2 linked regions of the Styela clava genome follow. The protein of the gene in region 2 binds, or shares a complex with, the protein of the main gene of each other region. Links are inferred from orthologs where the notes say so. Each region holds a gene or a part of one and is shown on either strand. Other genes may lie near its edges.

The links. Proteins that work in one complex are often made in the same cells at the same time.
Region 1: the proteins of (E3-independent) E2 ubiquitin-conjugating enzyme UBE2O-like (region 2) and nucleosome assembly protein 1-like 1 are in contact, whole or in part, in a cryo-EM structure (PDB 7UN6), measured with the Homo sapiens proteins. The link is inferred for Styela clava from reciprocal best matches to the Homo sapiens genes UBE2O and NAP1L1. Residues at the interface, in NP_071349.3 of Homo sapiens: Ser225, Asn226, Val282, Lys283, Pro284, Val285, Lys289, Ser290, Lys291, Phe292, Arg293; in NP_001317160.1 of Homo sapiens: Arg333, Arg337, Thr343, Gly344, Glu345, Ala346, Ile347, Asp349.

What each region holds. Positions count from the first base shown.
Region 1 is NC_135257.1:697,568-701,325, reverse strand, and holds the start of nucleosome assembly protein 1-like 1, read right to left. Parts: upstream 2,734-3,758; 5' UTR 2,679-2,733; coding exon 2,549-2,678; intron 1,739-2,548; coding exon 1,636-1,738; intron 1,269-1,635; coding exon 1,127-1,268; intron 406-1,126; coding exon 289-405; intron 1-288. UniProt on the Homo sapiens protein: Histone chaperone that plays a role in the nuclear import of H2A-H2B and nucleosome assembly.
Region 2 is NC_135256.1:11,167,723-11,171,480, forward strand, and holds the start of (E3-independent) E2 ubiquitin-conjugating enzyme UBE2O-like, read right to left. Parts: upstream 2,546-3,758; 5' UTR 2,386-2,545; intron 2,378-2,385; exon of another isoform or gene 2,243-2,377; coding exon of another isoform or gene 1,100-2,242; intron 1-1,099. Other genes in the region: uncharacterized protein LOC120339753, read right to left, coding at 1,100-2,242. UniProt on the Homo sapiens protein: E2/E3 hybrid ubiquitin-protein ligase that displays both E2 and E3 ligase activities and mediates monoubiquitination of target proteins. Negatively regulates TRAF6-mediated NF-kappa-B activation independently of its E2 activity.

The DNA.
Region 1 (3,758 bases), on a different chromosome or scaffold from region 2:
CTTGATGATGACGATGACCATCCTAATCCTATAGGTTATAACCCATAAGTCGACTGCATAGAAATGGCATGAACTTGATCAATTTCAGTGTTGAGAGATGAGTGGATAGTGAAGCTGATTTCAGCATTTCTGATTACCAATTGATTCCAATGGTTTTGAATGTATTATATCACTAATTATCAAACTTATATATCGACATTGAACATTTGTTAATAATATCCAATTAGCAAAAAATTGTAATATGAAAATAATATCTTGTATTGCGATATAAAATATTGTTGCTCTCACCTCTTCATTTTTATTTTTCTTATTTTCTTTAGTATTTTCGTCTTCTTCTTCATCCTCACTATGCCACTCACACTCTGAATCAGTCGGCTCAATTTCTCCCTGAATAATGTCTCTCCTCTGAAAAGGTCAAATGATTGGAAAAACATTTAATTGAAAACAACTGTAATGTACATGACAACTGTCTATAAAAGAGATTCCTAACATCTGCTTATTTAGCAGCCCACGATAGGATGACATCGTTTGGAGTCTTACAACAATAACGACAGTTCTATTATTGACGTATAATAACAAGTGGCTTCCTGCAATGAGTTAAGTAGTGTTATAGTAAACTGTATATAATACTATATATAATATAATATATGATACTAATCTCCACTATTTAGGAATTAGATAATGGAAACATGATTATTTTAATAATAGTCCAATCTTCCAAACAGCATTTAATGAGGTGTTTATAAAAGTATTTTCGATTACAAACATACACTGAGTGAATTATATATTAGAATATTAGATTTGTTTTGAACAAACCTGCACTATTTATAAGCCAAACTACAAAAAAAAAAATAATTCAATGGAATTGTTACCTTTTTTATAGAAAACATTTATATTAGTACCTGATCAAAAAGCAATTATATTTTATCCGTGGTTTAAATATCTCTAAGTTCATAACCAATCGAAAATTTTCAAATTGAAATTTTTAATAAAATAGAATCAAGCAAACAAATATGGAACAAATTAGGTGGGCTATGCCAATGCAAAATCTCTGCAATGCAAACTTCTGAACTATCTTGAATCTTTTCATTTTGCAAGGAGTTCATATAAACAAAAAAAAACTTACCCTATCAAATAATGGTGCATAAATCGCCATATATTTTCTTTCTAATTCATGGACTTCCTCAAAAAATTTTGATTCAATATTCATTGACTTGACTTGAAGATTTTTCAAGGCATGTATCCGTCTTTTCACTACTTTAGGGAGGCTGAAAAATTACAGCAAAATGAAATTAAAATAACTGAAATGAAAATTTTTCCAATGATTGGAATGTAGGCTATGTAATAAACCTATTTATTTTATCAAATTTATATTCTACAATGGCCTACAAGAATATAAAGAAATTAAATGCTCTTGAAAATTCAGCACCCCAAAACACAGCACAGCAATTTTAATAGAAGTGCATAGGTAGCAAAACATTTCCGATGGCAACTAACTGAAGCATCGGTCCTTTGATACCTCGCAACACAAATTGCAAACATACATACATTCGAATACATTGAAAAGTAGATATACCCCGATTCTTTGAAAAAAGCATCTTTCCAGGGTCATTTACACTTTTTAACATACCGTACCTTTCAATATATCCTGATGAATTTCCAACCATATCTTCGATTCGATTTTGTAAAGCAGCTAAAACCTGTGGATTCTGCATCATCTCTGCGGTTATTTGACTTGCTGAAAAAAAAATACAAAACATGCCAAATTATGATAAACTTTATGAGAAGTATAAAATTGAAAATATGCTTTCCGATGATTCCTTTTTAAATGTAATTTTTTCTTAATTTTTCATTATTAAAGAAGTTGAAGATGACGGGGATGATATGGGATAAATCAACCAAGTCCAAGGATATTCATCAGAAAAGCTATATTCCCTTATCTGAACAATTTCAATAATACAGATATTAAACCATTCAACATCAGATTACATTTACAATAAATTTTATCAACTCAACTAACGGTGACAAAGTATTTGTTGAATAGAGGAAAGGTGAAAGCCTGAGCTTATTGGCTTGTAATTAATATTTAAGATCCTTATATCAGACATTTATGGTAAACTTGATGGGGAAAATTCAGAATGAGATCATAATCACAATTATATCAAAATAGCTTTCGTTTTGAAATATTCAGCGAAAGAACAATGGCACCAATTTTCACCCTACAAAGGAGGCGCAGTTCTTATTTATTACCATCAGGGGCAGCCCTGCCATTACAGCCGACATGCCGTGGTTACGGCAGCAAAATTTTATCTGCAGTTGGTTTTCAATTTGCTGCCGTGGTAACAGCAGCTCCCCACTGGTTTGTGGCAGCTACAAAGTCAGTCGCCATGGTTTTGTGGCAGCTTCAGACGCCACGAAATACTTGAAACTGCAATTGCTTCAAAGGCAGCTTTTAAGGAACAATCAAAATTCATATCCTTCGGGACATACACTTTAAAACACAACATAAAATTTCAGTGTCATTTTCAACAATGATTTACATATTTACCTGAAGGCATCGACTGTGGCGTTTCATCTGCATTCAAAGTAGCTGATTCATCATCAACTTCTGTCTCCGGTTTTTCCTCATCGTGTTCCACAACATCTTTATCAGATGTTTTCGCATCTCCTGATGACATGTTGTTGTAAATATTTTATGAACTATGAACTATCAAAACCAGCAAAAGCTATTTCTGTATTTACATAATATAAAGTTTGAAAAACATTATTACATGTGTTAGAGATTCTGTGAAGTAATAGTTTGATCACTAAATCTAATTAACACTTGCCACTTATCTTTTTGCAAAATTTGCTGTGCAGGCCTGCACAACATACGGCCCCCGGGCCGCATACGACCCGCTAGATACTTCTGTGCAGCCCACGGTTGATTTGGAAACACGCCACTTCTCTGGTCTAACAATCAAAATCGGCATTGTTATGCAAGCGCACCGCTACTCTGATCATATTCGAAATCGTGAGAATTATGTTTTGCACTAGTTTCAATAAATATCAAACTTTGTGTGAAATTGGTGTGCCCTTCGTGACCCCTAAAATTTGCCGCTCGACCCCTCGCCCCCCAGTTTGGGTAACCCTGATTTAGATATCTCAGTATTCAGATTGAATCACGCTTAAAACAATTTCGGTATACAATCTCAGACCCATTAGAGCATATTAGCAACCTATTAATAAGCCCCCTATTTTTTAATAAGTTTATGAAACTGAAGTTTCTTTTTTGATTCAAATTAAAAACTTGAAAAACAATTCCTTCATTTATGAACGGTATAGAAATTCTCGTACAAAAGATTTTGCTATTTACTGTAAAATTTCAAATAAATTGGAGCAGATTTTGTAGAAACATGTAATTTAACAGTCAAAAAAGTACGGGTCTGGTATAGTTTAGTACCACATGTACTTCTAGTTGACCTGGCTCAACAATTTTTGCATATGTCAATCCTAACCCCCACCTGACTACGTCACCGAAAAATTACGCCATTTCGTCACAGTGCAGCAGTGGCGTAATAAGGCCCACCGAAGTATGCGGATGGTCGTCCGAAACGCGCAGACGATCACCCGAAATCGAGCAATCAATTTCTCCCGTTTTCTCGTCACAACGATCACAATAGGAGAGAGATCGCCGGCTTTAGCAAGTTCGTTATCGGCGGCGCAGATGTCATTTCGGGCGATCGTAATTATACTTTGGCAATCCCTATGATGTTATG
Region 2 (3,758 bases):
CAATTCTTTTTTTAATTTATTGAATGTAGTCAACACTTTATCTCCTCTATCTAATCTTTCTTTCAATTCTTCCAATTGTTTCATCCCTCTATTATATTCAGCTTTTGCTTCCCATGCTATTTTAATTGAATGTTTGATCACCAAATCTTTAATCTTTTTCTTTATTTCTTGCCACCATTGAGTTTTTGTATCAAATAAAACTTTTAATGTGCACCAACTATTCCATTTGTTCTGGAAGTCTTCAATAAAACTTTGGTTATTATAGACTGAAACATTATTTTTCCAAAATCCGTGTCCCTTTTCTTCCAATTTACTAATAATCTGAATATCGACCGAGTACATGTCATGATCCGAGTTATATGTTGGTGAACAATATATGTTGGTTATATGACATAGCCTATGAGAACAATATAAACGATCTAATCTGGCTTGTATTGTGTTATTTCTCCAGGTATAGAAGGTATTACTATGAGAAAGGAAATCCACAGAATCGATCAAGTTAAAAGTTTCTACAAGGTCATTCAATGCTTCAGACACATATTCTTTCTTGGCTCTTTTATTACTTGTTCTATCTTTATCTATATCATGAACACAGTTCATATCACCACCAAAAACTGTTGCATGTTGAGAATATAGGAATCTGTAAATACCGTTGTAAAAATTTTCCTGTATTCTAATGTTAGTTCGACAAGGGGCATAAATATTAACCAAATGAATTTTTTCACCATGTATATCCACTTCAGCAGTAAGAACTCTTCCATCGTTGTCGAATGTGACATTATAAAACGAAAAACTTGACATCTTTGATTTTAGTAATATAGCTACCCCTCTCGAGTTTGAATTACCATTATTCCATATGCTGGTGCCATGTCTCCATTCTCTACGCCATGTTAGTTCAACATCGGTAGTGCAGTGTGTCTCTTGGAGAAAAATTATATCTGCCTTTTTTTTTGATAATTCGAAGAATACATCTCTACGTTTTTGATTGTCTCTAAGGCCATTAACATTAAGTGTGAGAATCGTCAAATAAATTACCATTGTGAGAGTTCTTTTTCTTGTTTTTTTTTTTAAAAGTAGATTTGACGTTTTAACAACAACTTTATTCACTCATATTGTGTATATAATCTTTAGCTTCTTTCATAGTCATTATCTTTTGTTTTCTAGATGTTTTCTTTTTTCTTGGTGGTGACCTTTCAATAGAAGAAGACTTGTCCACGGTTAACTGTGAATTTTCACCTTGGTTTTGTGTATGAGGTTCTAACAAATACAAAATTGTTTTTTCTGCTGTATTGGATTGCATTTCCTCTTCTTTATTCAATGTAATTATCTCACTATTATCCTCACTGATGTCAGACATATTTCCAAACATTTCTGGCAAAAGGGTTGGACTTATGGATGATTTCTCACTGTGATCTTCACTAATTTCGTTCGCGGGAGTGCTCTGGGTTGGATTATCATTTATCAATTGTTTTTTACTAATGTTATTTTCAGTATTATCAATTTTGTTTTTTTCTACTTGTTTGGTAATCTTTTTAGCTTCATTGTCTATTTCCTTTTCAGTTTCGTCAACTTTGGTCTGTTCTGGATTCGGTGATCTTTGTCCTGTGTCTTTATATCTTTCTAATTTTGGAATGAAATATTCACAATTATTCATTATATGGCCAGCTTTGCCACAAATACGACATGTTGGGGTCTGCCCCCAATATCTGACAAAAAGTGAATGTCCTTTTAATTTTACGTAACTTTGAATTGGTTTTTTCATTAAATCGTCTTTTTTTATAAAAAATCTTCGTATGCCATTTTTCATGTTGAACCTATCTTTCAATATAAGTACTTCTCCTATTGTTCCGTGATTTTCTTCAAAGTGTTCTTTAATTTCTTTATTTTCCATTGGGCATGGCACATTGTGTACGAATACTGCCACATTTTCCGGTACATAAAGTCTATGAAAAGGAAGTGTTTCTGCACCTACTTTTTTAAGCTCCCATAATTTCTTATCCACATCAATAGCTGTTGCTCTTGTTTTAAATGTTAAGTCCACCGTGTACCTGGACGTAAGTACAAATCCGTCCACAGTGTCGAATACAATATTCAGTTTTCTAAAAAATTGCCATATATCTTCTCTTCGAATTACTTTTTCATCATTAAATTTCAATGCCATGCACTTCGTTCTGTCTAATGTGTTTCTCTCCTCCTCATCTTTTTTACGATTCTGTTTCAGTTTCTCAGAGTATAGAGACATCTTCGGACATCGTTTCACACTTTCAACAACAGGATTTTATTAAAGTTATAATTTAGATACTAATTATAGTTAAACTTAATCAAAATCCTTAAACGGAGACTTGACTTGACTTGACTGCGACTTTCGACCGATGAACAGAAAAGTCTTTGTGAATTTCGATAGTTAGATCACTGCTTTTCGTTTTGAATACGATTGCTCAACAAACACCCTGCAATGAAGACAAAAGTCGAGCGCGAACTGTCGTTCGCCGCATGTACTCGGGGAAATCCCAGCAACACAATCAAACAAAGTCAATCAAACCGCGTCGCATGGTGGCGAACATTAATTTCTCCTATTTAAATTCAGAAGTTCACCGCCGCTCAAATAAGCTGGCAAACAGGTTCAATTTTAGATATCAACTACTCAAGATGTTAAATATGTGGGCAACAGTTAGAAACTTGAGTTTTATTAGACATATATGTTGATAGGTTTATTTATTAATAGATTTAAAAATGGTCGCTGTCTATGATGGAAATTTCTTCCTCAGCTTCGCCGGGGTCATAGCGTATTCCCAAACTGTTTATATATATATATATATATATATATATATAAAACCTCGATACACCGAAGCTAAAGACTTCGTGCGCTACCAACGACTAACGTGCGCTACTATATATACTTCCAGTAAACAAAAAAGTTTGAATGTTCTCATCTTGCGTTTCTTCCTTCCGCACGGGTCTAAAGCGAACATGTACCACTTCTTTCAATCCAACATCTATCTTGCACGTTTTGAATCTTACTAAGGTTTTGTTGGCTTCCCTGATTCCGTCTGTAATCAGTTCTATCCTGATTTTATCTTTTTTTTTTCTCGTCTTTTATGCCGATTATGGAGTCTAAATAAACACACATTGGTGAAACCGATGCAAAAATATTTAGTTTGCTAATATAAATTTGATCTTTCAACAAAACTGCGCTACCAAAAAACAGTGCAGTTGTTCAGGGAGATGAGGCAAACTTTTAGTTCTTATTTAATCGTACCTAACAAATGGTAAAAGCTCGTGATTTTATTGCCATTCTATTCTAAATGAACAGCTATATTGTCCTGCCAGACTTTTTCCCACCTCTATGGGCAACCTATAGCATACACCACCTCCCTCATTTCTCAGTCTTGTCCCGTCAGACAGATATTGACGATTTTTTAACAACATATCATAATTATAAAGACAAAATAAAATGTGAATTACATATATAAATGGTATTGCATGTTTGTCCACCAATGTAAACAATTAAAACTGGATTGAAATTCATGGCTAAACCAAGTAGTGATGTTCATTAATTGTAGAATTTAAATCCATATTGAAAAATTAAGCACCAGAATTATTCAAAATGAATGTTCTATTTCCTCTACAAAATATCTTGGATACGCATCAAAAATTCAACTTTTGATTTAGGCATCAATCTGCACATGCGGAACAAATTTGGAACCCTTTTTGTCATGTCTGGTGCTAAATTCATGAGCACGACACTTCCTCAGTGT